Struthio camelus: one gene and its partner. The protein of the gene in region 2 interacts with the protein of the main gene of each other region in a biochemical or structural test. Links are inferred from orthologs where the notes say so. Each region holds a gene or a part of one and is shown on either strand. Other genes may lie near its edges.

Region 1 (7,544 bases), on a different chromosome or scaffold from region 2:
GTACTAAGTCAATTTGAAACCAGACTAAGGGTTAAAGAACAAAACAAGCATAAGTGATTCTGTCTGCTTTGGTATCCTTTCTTCTGTTTAACTTGTTTTCAGAAGATTTACAAATGAAGTGTTTGCAGTAATTCATTCCATTAAAAAGGATAAGAAAGTGACTGAAACAACTGTTCATAAGGTTCCTACAGAGCACTACTATTTCCAAACAGGGAAATATTCGTTAAATCTTCCTTTTTTTTTAAAGAAGGATTTTTAAATGTCCTCTTCGAAAAATGGTTTTAATTATATTCAGTGTCAAATCAGCTCAATATCTGTATTGTCATACAGAACCAGCAGTGATACAACAGGTTTACTTTCAGCTTGTCTTAATAAAAATGATCTTACAGATTTTAAATATCCTCAGAACACACCCAGAAGACTGAGAGCAACACTTAAGAATCTGATTAAATGATTATGAAATACCTGCATGGAATACAGAGGTACAAATGACCAGCATATCTAAACTGTATTAAAATATGCTGGTGTGCCTTCTGAATAGCTGCCATCTAAAATGAATCCTCCTTTCAAAATATCCAATATGGTCATGTTTCACGATTCACTTGTGAAGAGTACGCAGGCTGATTTATAGAATACTTCTGCATACCACTACATGAATCCGTTAATTGGCAGAAGCCTGATGGCACATTTTATAATATTTAGAAGAGCAGGATGTTCTAGAAGACATTTCTCCCCCATGTGACAAAGTTTGCCATAACTGAGACATTTTAAATACTTTTGCCTAGGACTCCACATTATGACATGAACACAATGACTAAGTAATGTTATTTAGCTTTGTGCTTAGAATGTATGACTTTTATCAAAATTCTCTCTCAAACTTTTCTACCAATCTTCAATACTGTCATCTTAAAATTAAAAGGAAACACCTACATGCAAAACTACCTCCCTAAACTCATCTTCATGTCCTCCATCCAAAAAAGTACACAATACTGTTACCTTACTCCAGCATTACTGCACCGTGTTGCTCTAGAATATGTGCTCACATAAATATGAAGCAGCATTTACATCAACTGTTTATAATACATTAGAAAAAAAAAGCACAAGGGGTTGTGTTTAATGACATGAAGACTGCATTAGCTGAAAAATACCATACAGATTCGTTTCCTCAATTATACATAAATTTAAGCAGCAACCCTCCAGACTTAAATATCTGCTTTACTTACAGAGTAGTTTGATCTACACTACAGTACTGACAGCAAGTAACTACAAAGGACCAGACCCAAAGATTTTCACTTGACAAAAAATCAGAACTAGAGGAAGAAAAAAGATGAATCTATAGTCTATTTTTAATTATGACTGCAGTGTTTCAACATTAAGTTGCTGTACTTTTTATTAAGTTCAGACACAAAAATGCCCTTTATTGTTCTAAATCAATAAAAAAAGTTGTAATGAAAAACCTACAGTCTTATCAAACTGACTACGTGCACTGCTGTCTAGTATTTTGCTGTCTAGTATTCAAGAGGAGGATAACGCAGAGTGAAACAGCTTCTAAGTTGGACACTGAATCTCCTCCACACTCCTTTTGATATACGCTGCATTCTAATTACCATTCATTAGGTAAGTCAATCAATGTACTAGAACCAGAGTGAGATTCCTCCACTTTGAAAGAAAAGTTTAAGAACACAAAGTTTTATCATCACAGCCGTGCACACTAAAGTTTAAAAAACTCCAAAAACTGTAACTGTCCTCAAGACACATATATCAAAATACAAGAGCTCTTAAAAAAAATCCTTGATAATAAATACCATGATAGTTTTTACCAACTTTAAACTTTGCTGTAAAGAAAAAACACAGTCAGTACCACTAGTGTACAGTTTTAACACAGATGGGTACCTTAGTCAGCCTTCAGGAAAAAAAAAAAAAAACAGAGGATAATATAGCATAATGTTAGAAAAACTTAAAAAATTTATGAAAGACTTTTTCCAAAAAAGTAGTATACTGTTCTTTAGTAAAATTATACTTAACATGCTTTAAGTTTTCTGAACTCCCTTACTCGCAGAAAGGAAAGTTTTACAAAGTTTTGCAAATGCACACCCCAGTACAGCACTTATAATTGCCAGAAATTTTTGCTTTAAAGTCTTTCTTGGGGGGAGGAGGGGGAACACCCTTACAAAAAGAAAACAGCAAACTTGATCCATTCAACCATTTGCTTTATGCATAAACTAGATTAGACCCAAGACTCGAGCTTTCAGCTTCCAGTAAAAAGCTACCTGGGCTGCAGATTTTGTTATTCCATGCATAATCCTTCTGGTCGGTTTGGTCAGTGGGAGAGGGGGGAATTGCACGCCCATCCCCACGCATAACGACCTCGCAGCGCTCAGTCCTTTGCACCCCAATGCATCGAGGTTCAGGGGGCGGGAGGGAGAAGTGGTGAGGGGGAGGATTAACTTACTAATCCCCTTATTTCTTTCCCGTTGTAGACTCTCCCCCATCGCTCCCTCTCCCCTACCCCCCAAAAGCCCGACCTACTGAGTAGCTCCCAACCCCCCCCCCCCTTGCAACGGCGCGGATGGGGGAACAGCACCGCCTGCATCCCGCACAGGGCACCAGCGCCTCCTCCGCGCCTTCGCCGCCCCGCGGCGGCTCAGCGGAGCGCCCAGGCCAGGCCCCCCCGGCCGGGCCCCGCGGCCGCCGCGCCCCCCACCCCGGCGGGATTCAATGAGGCTGCAGAATCACCCGGGGCCTAGTCCCGGCCACCACGCTCCCCTCCTCCGACGAGCCGCGCCGCGGAGCCCGGCCGCCCCTCCGAGCCGGATAGGACCCCCCGCGGCTCCCCGGCCCGGCAGCGCGGCGACGGCGCCTACCTGGGCGCTATTTACAGCCATGGCGCCCCGCCTCAGTGGGGAGCTCGGCGTCTCCCAGGCGCCTCACGCTGCTGCCCCCGCCGCCGCCATCTTCTCTCTCGCACGCACCAGCCGGGCGGGCAGGCGGCAAGCACTGCGCCTGCGCACAGCGCCGCCGGGGAGGGGAGGGGAGGGGCGGCGCGCCTTTGCGCCTGCGCGTCGGCCGGGCGGTAGGGGCGGGAGGCGGCGGTGCCAGCGGCGCGCAGGCGCAGTAGCGGCCGAGCCGGGGGCGGGGCGGCCCGAGGAAGGGGCCCGGCGGCGGGGGGTGGCGGGAGCTGCGGGTGGGGCCGCTCTCCGCCGGGGGCGGGAAAAGGGGGTTGGGGGGGGGGGGGGAGAAACCAGGCAGCTCGGGGGGTCCCGGCGGCGCGAAGGAGGGCGAGGCAGCCAAAAAAACTTCACCTCCGGCCCCAGGCATCCCTCGGGGTCGGCCACGAGGCGAGCGGCCATCGCCCGCCAGCGGCGCGCGGGGCTGCCTCAGAGCGGTGCGGGCCCGGGCGCCGTGAGGCGGCGCCGCCCCCGCCGAGCGCAGCGGGGCGGCTTCGCCCGGGGAAGGGAGGGGGGATGCGGCCGGCCCTCCGGGTGGGCCCTGTGCGGAGGGGCACAGGGCTTTTCGGGTTTTTAGGGACACGCAGGCTTCGGCTGGGTTTCAGCTCGTGCTTCCTCGAGGCGGCGGGCCGCGCGTTGCGGAGTTGGAAAGCCTCAGACGCCAGCAGGCCTTGGCCCCGAGTAACGAGAGCGATAAGGGATTAGGCATTTGTATTTGGAAAACAAACAAGCAAACAACAAAGAAAAAAGTGACTAAGCCAATATTATGCTTTTGAGAGGACTGAGTCACAACTGCCTGCTTGTAAGCTCCCATCCCCGGGCAAGAAGCCATTAAACTAATCGCTAATTTACTCCGCCTTTTTTTCCCCCTCTTAAAAAACTACTAGATCCCACAAAAGACCGCTTCAGCTGCGGAGCAAGTGGTATAAAAAGCTTAACTTTACTATGAAAGTTGAAGAGAAGAAATAACGTGCTCCCCAGGAACTCTGTGATTGTGGCTTCTGAGAGAGAAGGTTCACTGAAGATGGAAAGCAGACTTCACCTGCCTTATTTTTTGATAAAGACATTTCCCTCTTATAAGTGCAACGCTTAATGTGTGCTCATGACAGTAATGGGAAGAAACTACAGTAGATGATTTTCTGTATCTGTTTCTGTCATTTCAGTTGACACACCCTGCTCCGCTCCCTTTCTTTTTGTTCTAGCAAGCGTTGTTGCTCTTCTGTCCTAAGGCAGAGAACCAGCAGTGAAAATAGCTGTTTAGTATTTAAAGGGGGTGGGGGGAAAGAAAGAGGGAGACATGCATGGGGATTTTACGTGAAGCACTTCCTACATCTGAAACCCCCTCTGCCCACAGGAGTCTAATTTACAAGGTAAATAATGGAGTAAAAACCCTTACAGAGCTCGTCTGGCTGAAGGCAAAATTCCCTTCTGCCCACAATCCTGCTTAAGTAAACTGACTGTGTTTGCTGGAAAGGTTGCCCCTGCAAATGGCTGAAAATACAAATGAGCAGAGTGCTTTCCACCTGAAAACAGGTTAATTCAAGGACCAATATTGTTCAAAGCTGGAGCAGACTGGCCAGAATTAGGGTGTGGGCAGAGAGGATGCAACTGTTGAGCAAAATTAATAACACCTTCAATTTTATCCTGCCTTAATACAGTTTCATTGTAATGTCTGTTAAATTTTTACCACAATATCTTGTAATACTGTAAGTTATGTAAGTTTGATCATAATAGAATCCTTTGAAGGAACTTTTACCTGCCGGAAAGTTTCCTCCTCAGTTCTATCTTACCATTCATTTTTGCCATTTCTGGTGGTGTGTCATTGTATTACTCGTCACTGCATTGCTCAAATCAGCTTTACTTTTTTTCTATCCTTTATGTCAGTGGCCAGGTACTCACAAACAATATGTTGCCTTTCAGACTTTAAAAAATAGTGGTTGTCTATTTTGCTTTCTGTGTATCCACGTTCTTAAGGGAGAGTAAAGGGAGAGTAAAATAATGTTAACTCACAACATGTGACCACTTAAATACTTTGTATTTTGATTAACAGCAGTGGAGGGTCACATCTTTGGGAATCAGAAAGACTTGTTTTACATTAGCCAGCGAGCTGAATAAAATACTCCAAATCAGTTGCCGCCCAATAACAACTACGGTAATTGTTCTTACTCTGCTATAAATGCAAAAAGCTTGGGAATAGCTTATCCTACAATATCATACTCCTCATGACCTTGCTACAGCATAAAACTGACCCAGGGGTTAAGGGTTTGTACATTTGAGGTTCCTGAACTGAAGCAACTGATGGGCCGCTTTGATCTGCTCTTTCAGGGACAGAAACGAGTATTTTCCTGTAGTGCTGCAAGACCTGGTTGATCACTGTGGAAGGTTTATCAATGTCTATGCAGAGCTTCTTCACAGTGCTAGGAGCTTTAGAAGACTTTTATTCTGGTAGTTTCTACGTACAATAAGGGCTTTGCTGTTTCTCCAGTCATTTTGGTAATGGAATTCAACTGGGAGGAAAAAGCCCAGTCAACGCTATACTGTGCGTTGGGGGCACCCAGACACAAAAAGCTAAGGTGGCTGCTGCGCGTTTAGAGAACATTCAGAAAGAGATTATTTATTTAAAGCAGCAGGAGACTAAGGGAGCATAGTGATACTCTATGCCCACAGTAGCACCAAAATAGTGTTAGGAAGGAAGCTCTTTTCATTTCCCTCATAAAATACTTATCAGAAGCAGTCATCTCCCCTGCTTGGACCTCAGACAGGAGCTTCTGATGGCGGTTCAGTTGGCTTCTTGTATTTCAAGTTCTTAACCAGCCTACTCTTAAGTCGATATCAACAGAGATGTCATTGGCAGAATCTGTAAAACACAGCCGTGACAGTCCCTCTCCAACGTGTCCACAGAGACCCTATGAACTTTGCCAGAGGTAAATCTAGCTACCTTACAGTGGCCACAGGCATACAAAAGGAATTATATGAAGTACCTGGGACAGAAAGGACAGAACTTGCTGCTGATGGAGGTCCTTCCTACTGCTAATGGCTATAATAAAAAATTTGGACAACCCAGATGAAGCTCTTTTCCTTTCTTTGTAGAGCTTGCGTAGGTCTTTGTTGTCAAACCTCTTTTTCAGATAGATGTCTGTGCTTAGATGTTCTGAATAGCATTCTGCTGGATATTCAGTCCTGAGGCTTTCCCAATAAATCTTAATCCAAAACCTCGTACTTCAGAGGTTTACCTGATTACTGAAACATGCTTGCTGAGTAGTCATAAATTTGTGAACTTTCTGTGACCTGAAATTGCACAGGTTAGCAACAGGCATCCCTGTGTTTAGAAAGAGAAGCCGAGATAGCACCAGGGCAAGAAAAGCTATACAAGGAGAAGCAATCAGCAAAGTAGTACAGGACACCAATAGGAGGTGTTTTATTCTGGAAAGCACTCGAGCAAACTGGGCTCCAAACTCCTCCTTCTTAAACTTTCTGATAATTTGTAACAAATATACTTAATCTGTTGATGCAAGGAACTTAAACGTGAAATAGTTCAAGTGAGCCTGAAAGAAATTTCAAGTCTAGACAAGCCCTTAGTAGATCGTGTGGCTGCTTGACTCAATATATTCTGTTTCAGTTATCTATGCAGACCTTTTGGCTGAATTATTTGTATCTCATCCTTCCCTGTCTTAAGTATGAGCCTTCTCTCTTCTCATGCAATGCAGTCTATTTTAGAGCTGCAGTTTCAAAAGAACCTTTATCTCACCTCTAAATTCTTTCCATTCACCATTTTGTTACTCATCGCTGAAACCGTCATGATAAAAACACAACTACATTTTTGTTCCCAAAGCTGTAGTGAGTCCCAGCAAGAGCCCATGCAATGCTGTAACATGGATTTGGTATCAACAAACCCACGCCTGGGCTGTGTGTCTGTCATCCATCTGATAGTGCATCAGCAGGGAGAAGGAACCTGCGTAGCTGGGACTTTGCCTTGTGCATGCTCTACCTTGCACAGGATGGCAACAGTGCATCTCCAACTGGACGGGGGATGCACCTGCCTTATGTGGTCTGAAAGACAGCTCAAAAACAGAGCTTGTAAAGGTTTAATTAGCTTTTCACTCATTAAAACCATAGGAACAGAATAATTTGGAATGGTCAGAAGGTCATTCTTAATTTCAGTTTCCACTCCATCTTCTTTCCTGCTAAAACTGCTCACATAAAGGGTTTTTATCAAAAGGACTAAGTGCAGCCACGTTTAACAGGTTAAAAGAAAAAGAAGTCAGCAATCCTGAGGTCCGTTTCTATCTTTGTGACTATCAGCCGTGTAAAAACTACGTCCCGTTTTCCACTTGTCGTCTGATGTAAGGATGACACTATCTACTTGCTGAAGTGTTCTAAGTCTATAAATTCTGCTGGATGAAGAGAGCTGAACTATTACAAGAAACTGAAATAAAATGATAAAAAAAAAAAAAAAAGCAAAGCTTTCCATTTGTTACGCTTCCCTTTTTTCGATAGAAACTTCTGACTGGTCAGAGGTTCCTTAAGACATATCAGCAACCTAAGAATCACAACTAGAATCTCGACTTTTTTCTGCAAGTTAAACTGCTTCTCAGA
Region 2 (6,908 bases):
AAAAAAGTGGCGTGCATTCATTAGTAGCTCACAAAGGGACCCAGCCTTTGTCCATTAAATTGCTCATGTGCCTGATTGATTTGCTGATTTATTTTCACCAAAGGGTTGGGGGGCTCAGCTTGGAGGAAAGGGGTGGGAGGTGCCCAGCTACTGGGTAGAGTAACGGCGCCCAGGCAGATTTGCAAAAAGCAACACACATTGTCAAGGAAAACTGCCATTCAACAGGTTGGGATTGGAAATGCCTTCAGGTTTCTCCCCAGAGAGAACTTCCTATTTGGAAGTTTGGGGTGGGTGGGAACGTTTCCCTGCCTGCTCTCAGCTTAGGGCACGTTTAACAGGCGGAGGGGAAATCTGGCCGGAAAACAGAGTCTTGCCCATTCAGATCTCTTTTATGGAATAGTTTTAAAAAGGGAGCTGGAGTCTTATTCATTTCTCTCGGTTATTGTTCCCTGGGAGCCTGGAGTGAATCGGCCATCGCTGCGGTGGGTCGGATGGTCCTTCAAAGAGTCCCAACATTTTACACATCCGTTTCCCCACAATCAGCTTGGAGAAAGCTCCTTCATGTGTGCCAGATCCTGCAAGAAGGGCTCGATCCTCAGCTTGGCACCAGCTTCAGCAGAGTTACAGGGAGAAGGTGGCCCTGCTTTCCTGCCTTTCCGATGGCCCACCCAGAGCACAGCCCCAGGCTGCGCCGTGCAAGAAATGACCCCTGAAACGTGTATGGAGATGTCCCGAGAACTGTGCAATGGACTAAGAAATGCTGGGGTGCAAGGGACCAAAAGGCAGCACTTCGAGGTAGAAGGGAGCTGGGCCCGGAGTAACTCGGAGACAGACCACCTCCTTCCCCTTCCCGCCGTCCAACGAGCACCGCAGGCCGGGGCCTCGCTTCTGCTCCATCAGCATCAGCAGGGCAGTCTGGATAAGTAACACCAGCAAAACGTGGCCCTTTGCCCATGTTTTTCCACCCAGCCAGGAACAAAGCCCAATCCTGCCCAACTTGTGGCGACTCCTACACAAGCAGGTTATTCTTGCCACTCAAGGAATGAAAATGCATCTTGCCCTATTAAATCCAGAGCCTTCAAAGCAAAGTCAACATGCACGTCAATACTTCGGTCTAGGGAGATGAAAACCCTCTGGCTCCTCCATACTTACTGGCACACCTCAGTCCCGTTGAGGAAAGTTTCACACTTGCCCCCGTTGAGGCAGGATTCGGCAAGCTGCGTACACCGTAAACCTGCAAAGAGGAGGAGAGCGTTAGCCACAGGGCAGGCACCGGGCAGCACGAGGGGGAGGCTGCTGGGCCCCCTCGCGTCGGGGCTGCCGGGCGCCCCTCGCTCCGCCAGGGCAGGGCGAGCCCGGGAGCGAAGGTGACCTGCCGCCGCCAGCAGCACCCGCCGAAGCCTGGTGGCCACCGTGGTGAAAAGCAGGACCCGGCGGCTGCTCTCCAGGCAGAGCAGGGCTGCAGAGGCAGGCAGCAACCGCGCGGCCCCAGCTCCCAGCAGGGAAAGGCTCGCCTAAAAATAAACTCGTGGTGGGTTTTGAGACTAGGACTCTGCCTTCTCGGTACCCTCCCCAGGGGCCAACAGGAGGACTGACAGAGAAGAAAAAAAACAGGTCAGGCCCTTGAGTGACAAATGCCATTTGGGAAAAAACCATACACCCGAGGGCCCGTGAGTTATCACTAACTCGGTAACGAAATGAGTCGCTCGTCACAACTTACTGTGAGTAAAGGTTTCAATGTCTGGCCCTCAGAGCCAAATTCTGCACAGTTACCACAGCAACTCACTGAAAGTACCAGAATCGCTTCCGATTTCTACCAAAGCTCGCTCTTCCCCTTCTCTTCCTCCGCGAGCATTTCACGGCAACCGGTTCTGTGACACTGCTGCGCAGCCGGAGCACTTTCAGACCGCAGCAATTTCAGCTTCGCACCCCGCCAGCCAAGACCCAAACTTCTCCCCGAAGGGCTGCCGAGCCCCACGCGTCTCCGGCGCGGGGTCCAGCCCGGGTCCCCTCGCGGGGTCTCGCCGGGGGCTGCTCCGACCCCGCACCTTTCCCTGCGGACTGCGCCTCTGCGGGGCCGGGGCCCCCGTCCGGGCCGCCCCGGTGCGGAGCCGGGCGACACCGGCCCCGCTGCTCCCCCTCCCCGGGAGGCTCCCGCAACACCCGGCTCCGGCCGAAGCCCCTCGCCCGGGACCCGGGGACACGGCAGGGCCCCGGGGCTCTCGCCATTTGTAGGGTCCTTGTCCCCGGGCCCGGCGAGCCGTCCCCCAAGGTCCCCCCGCAGTTTGCGGCGAGGCACTCGGAGCCGCCCCGGGTGCTGGGGGCGGCGAAGGGGACCGGCGAGGCAGCCAGGTGACTTTCAAGAAACAGGAAACCGAGCAAAAAAAATTTGCAAAACGGCCGAAAGCTCTCGCGGAACAACAGCGGGGAGCGCTGCTCGGCGCCCCGCGCACCCCCCCGCCCGCCGCGCACCTCCGCCGGGGCGCCCAGCCCGGGTCCCCCCCCCGCCCGGTGCCGCTCCAGCTCCGCTCCCCGCGGGACAACCGAGCGCGGAGCCCCGTCGCGGCGCGTCCGGCCGCGGCTCCCCGCGGGGCGGCAGCCGCTCTCCCGCCGCCGCCGCTCCTCCTCCTCCTCCTCCTCCCGCGCTCGCTGCAAACTTCCTCCCGGCGGAGCCCCGAGCCGCCCCGCGCCGCCGAGCCCCGCCGTGCCGAGCCCGCTCCGGTGGGCGGCAGCGGGGCCCGGCGCGTCCCGGCGGCCCCTCACCTCGCGTCAGGGCGGGCAGCAGCGCCAGCAGGAGACCGGGCACCAGGAGCCGCTGCATCCCTGCTCTCGGGGCTCCTGCCCGCTCACAGCCGCATAGATCCGCGGGGCACCGGCCGGCCGTGCCGAGCCGGGCCGTGCCGAGCCGTGCCCGGTGCGCGCCGCCCCGCCGGGAGCCCCAGACACACCGCGCCCCAGCGCCCAGAGCGCAGCGACTCCAGCGCCCGGCGCCTCCCGCGGCTGCTCTGCCCCGGCGGGCCGGGCCGGGCCGGGCGAGGGAGGGCGGGACGGCGCGGGGCGGGACGGCTCGGCACGGCACGGGACGGCCCGGCCCCGCCCGCGCCCGCCTGGCGGGGAGGGGGGGGGGGGAGTCCTCCCGGGGCAGCCCCCCCCCCCCAATGCAGCCCCCGCACAGCCGCGGGGCGCCCCCAGTGCAGCCCTGCACACCCCCAGTGCAGCCCACCCATGCAGCCCCCCCCCGCAGCCCTTGCACAGCGCCAGTGCAGCTCCCCCCCCCGTCCCCAGCCCCAGTGCAGCCCCCCCATGCAGCCCCTGCACAACACCAGTGCAGCCCCCCCGCCCCGTCCCCAGCCCCAGCGCAGCCCACTCATGCAGCTCCCGTGGAGTCCTCGTGCAGCCCTAGTGCAGCCCCCTAACAGCCCCTACACGCCTCCAGTGCAGCCCCCCACGCACGCCTTGCACAGTCCCAGCGCAGCCCTAGGACACCCCCAGTAGACCTGCCCACCAGCCCCATATAACCCCAGTGCCGCCCGCCCGCACCCCTCGCACAGTCCCGGGGCAGCCCCACGGCAGTCCCTGCACAGGCCCTTGCTCAAGGCTGGTACAGGCCCTGCAGAGCCCCACACATCCTCCCCCAGTTCAGCCCCTCAGCCCACAGCAGCCTGGCACCAGCCGTGGGGCACAGACCCGGCGGGCTGCAGCGCCTGCTCCGTGCGCCGTGCACATGGGGCTGGGGGGGCTCCGCACCCCTGCTTGCTCTGGGGGACCAGGACGGGGCTGAGCATCTCCTCCCGGGGCCCTGGGCCAGGGCGAGCCGGGCACCCCGCAGTGCGGGGTCGGGCTCTCCCAGTGCCCGGGGTGCCCCCTCCGCCCCGGCATCGTGGCTTTCGCCGAGGCAGGTGTTCACAGATACGCCAAGCCACTTCCTAGCAGCCATTAACATACCTGCACGCACGGTTACGCGCACAGCTTGGGGATGATGTTGTTTATTTTGCGCCGTGAACTAATGAACTTGCAGGCAAAGCCTTGGCCAGCCCGACGCGCTGCATCAACAAATAAACAAACAGATGAGCAGAGGCAGGGAAGCCAAACCTCGGAGGCAGCCCCAGCAACCCCCAGGCGCGCGCAGGCTTCCTGCGCGGCCAGCGCCGCGTGCTGGCCCCCGCGGCCTCTCCCCGGCCTCCCCAGACCCCTGCCCGATGGTGGCGGTGCTGGCGGCGGGTCCCCGGGACCTGGTCCCCCGCCGGGCGCCGCGCGCGGGAACGGCACGAGGCGAACGCCCCCGCTGCGGGCGTGCTGGCGGGGCCCGGTTCGTCCCGAGCACCCCAGCGCGGCCCGAGCCGTTCCCGCTCCATCACGGCACTTAACAAATTGAAACCATATTGCCGTTAACTTTAGCAACCCGAGCGCAGACTTAAGCGTTTAAACTCCTGTTTGCATATGTTACCCGAGGGCTACGCTTATAGGGGGGTTTCCTTGCTGGCGGGGCGTTGTACCAGCCGTGGAGCAACACCGGCGGAAACAGCCGGTGTGGGGGTGCTAATGACAACTGCTTCCTCGCGGGGTTACCGCGGGGTCAGCTCGCCGGCTCGCGGCGAGCCTTGCCGGGAGGCCGTTGCCCCGCTGAGCGCCGCAGTGGCCTGTTGGCAATGCCGGGAAAGCTGCCGCGCAGCAGGCGCAAGGGCGGAAAACCCAGGGGCGAGAGCTTGGAGCACAGACAATTTGGGGTGCTAACTCCCACGGGCAACACGGCACCTAAATGCCATGGGGCTCCTGGCTCTCCTTGGACCCTCATCACAGCGGGGGACCCTGGGAAAGGCCATCAGCAGCGCCGTGCGGGAGCCGCCGCCGCCGCCGCCTCCCTCCCCAGGCGAGACGCTGGCAGCTTGCCGCAGGCCCCCAGGTGCGGCAGCGCCCTGGGACCCTGCTGATTAAGCCGTGGCTATTCTGGGCCGTCAAATGGCTCTTTTACAGCTCCCGGTTATACCGTCAAACGCGGGCCGGGGCGGGGGGGCGCGGGGCCAGCTGGCCTGCGTTTGGTGCAAAGCATGGGAAAAAGAAAGAGAAGAGACGGGGCCCGCAAAGGGTTAATGAGAGGGAGGTGACACCGTCATCTGTGTCTCTCATCACAGGGCACCTCTCCCCGCGGCCCGGGGGCTCATCCCGGCCCCTGTCCCGGCCCATGCCAGGCCTGGTGTTATCCCGCTGCTTCCTGTTGTAAATTATTTCCAGAGCAAGTGTGAAACAATTAAACAAACCGAAGGGCAGAGTCTGTTCGCTAGATCAAAGGAACGAGCCCTACAGCGCTATTGCTCTGCCGCCGCGCTTTGCCCTCGCTCTCCTCGCCGCTCGCGCCGGCGCCCGAACGCGGGCCGGGGGCCGGGGCTCCGCGCGGTGCCGCTCCACGCTGGCCGTCCGAGCCGCGCTACGAAACTCGTAAGCGGCGCGGAGACACGCTGCTTGCTGTGCTGCCTCCCTGCAAAGCCGGGGCAAGGGCCGGGCCGTCAGCCGGCCCCACGGAGCCTTTGGAGAGCAAGTAACAGAGGCAACAGGAGCCAAGGGTTTGGCCTCGGCGCCCCTCTAGGCTGGGGGCCGGGGCGTCTCCGCCGGGGCGCAGCCACGAAGCCGGTGCCGGCGGCCGGGCGCTGCCCCGCTCTGCTCGGCCGGCGACGTGCCCGCGTCGCCCTCGCTCTGCAGCGCCGCCGGCTCGGGGCTGCCGCCTCCTGCAGCCCCCGCCGCAGGAGGAAAAACCTGACGCTCCCACCGCTCTGGTTTATTGGGCGATAAAAGATTTCTGCTCCCTTCCCCTCCGTCTTCACCCCTTTCCTTTTGCACGCTGCAGCCCAGCTAGCAGGGAGCATCTCTGCTCTACCCGCCTGGAAATGCCTGCGCTGCCTTTGCCCGGGCTTGTTCCCCGCGCGCAGAAAGCACCGCGCGCTCGGCCTAGCCGCGCTCGGGCGCTTCTTCCCCCGGCTCGAGCGCTGCCCAGGCCCGGCGGGGCCGGCTGTGCCCGCTGCCTGCCCGCCGACGGAGCGGGCCCGAAGCGCGGCGGGATGCTCCGCGCCGTATCGGTGCCCGCGGAGGCAGCGGGAGCCTCGGCCATGGTGCCCTTCCGGGGGAAAAAAAAACCCCTCTCTGGTCTCTCCAGGTGCTGCGGGGGGGCACGAGCGTCTCGGCACGAGGATGACGCCTCCCGCGAGCCGGCGCCGCCGCGGGAGCCCTTTTCCAAGGGGCCTATCTGCCGGTGGGCGCGTCTTCGCGGGGACCCTTCCTTCTTCCACACCCGCCCCGCACATGCTGCTGCCGCCAGCTCAAAGGCAAAAGAAAAAAAAGGAGCGGGAAGCAAAAGGCAGCGGACAGCATAAATCTTTTTTCAATAAGCGGTAAATAGGACATAACTCCAGAGAAACTTTTCATTTTGAGTGGTCTTTGGGGGTTAAAAATCATGGGATTTTAGGTACTTTTAAAAATAGCGTTCGTAAGAACGCTTCTAATAGAAACCTTGGCACACGTCCATGTGATTAGTGATTTAAAAACATAAAACCTCCACACATGTTTAAAAGTTTTAATAAGTTGAAATTAAATGAGTGAAACTCTGGGAATATTTTTTTGTTACTGCAAGCTAAGAAAATTATGTCCGTTAAGCAAAACTTAGTACAAATATAAACAGGTAATGCACATCTGTAAATTATTTTCATGTCTCCAGGGGCTGGAAAAAAACCTAAGTGAGACCAGCATTCTTATATATATTTTGCCTTGACAGCTCAGGAAAAAATTTGCCAAAAACCAGAGTTAGAGCACTGGGCTGGCGTGGGAAAGTTGGTTTAGTGAGAAATTTGCCCCAGGCTATTTAAATAAAAACAGGCGTTTTTTTTTAATGGCAAATGCCTGTTAAAGGCAAGCCGCGC

What was found. The genes of interacting proteins can lie anywhere in the genome.
Region 1: the proteins of NOTCH1 (region 2) and USP10 form a complex in vitro, tested with the Homo sapiens proteins (2 studies listed by BioGRID, with this or other methods). The link is inferred for Struthio camelus from reciprocal best matches to the Homo sapiens genes NOTCH1 and USP10.

What each region holds. Positions count from the first base shown.
Region 1 is NC_090951.1:4,542,677-4,550,220, forward strand, and holds the start of USP10 (ubiquitin carboxyl-terminal hydrolase 10), read right to left. Parts: upstream 3,079-7,544; 5' UTR 2,886-3,078; coding exon 2,865-2,885; intron 1-2,864. UniProt on the Homo sapiens protein: Hydrolase that can remove conjugated ubiquitin from target proteins such as p53/TP53, RPS2/us5, RPS3/us3, RPS10/eS10, BECN1, SNX3 and CFTR.
Region 2 is NC_090961.1:3,758,969-3,765,876, forward strand, and holds the start of NOTCH1 (neurogenic locus notch homolog protein 1), read right to left. Parts: upstream 3,003-6,908; 5' UTR 2,822-3,002; coding exon 2,764-2,821; intron 1,235-2,763; coding exon 1,153-1,234; intron 1-1,152. UniProt on the Homo sapiens protein: Functions as a receptor for membrane-bound ligands Jagged-1 (JAG1), Jagged-2 (JAG2) and Delta-1 (DLL1) to regulate cell-fate determination.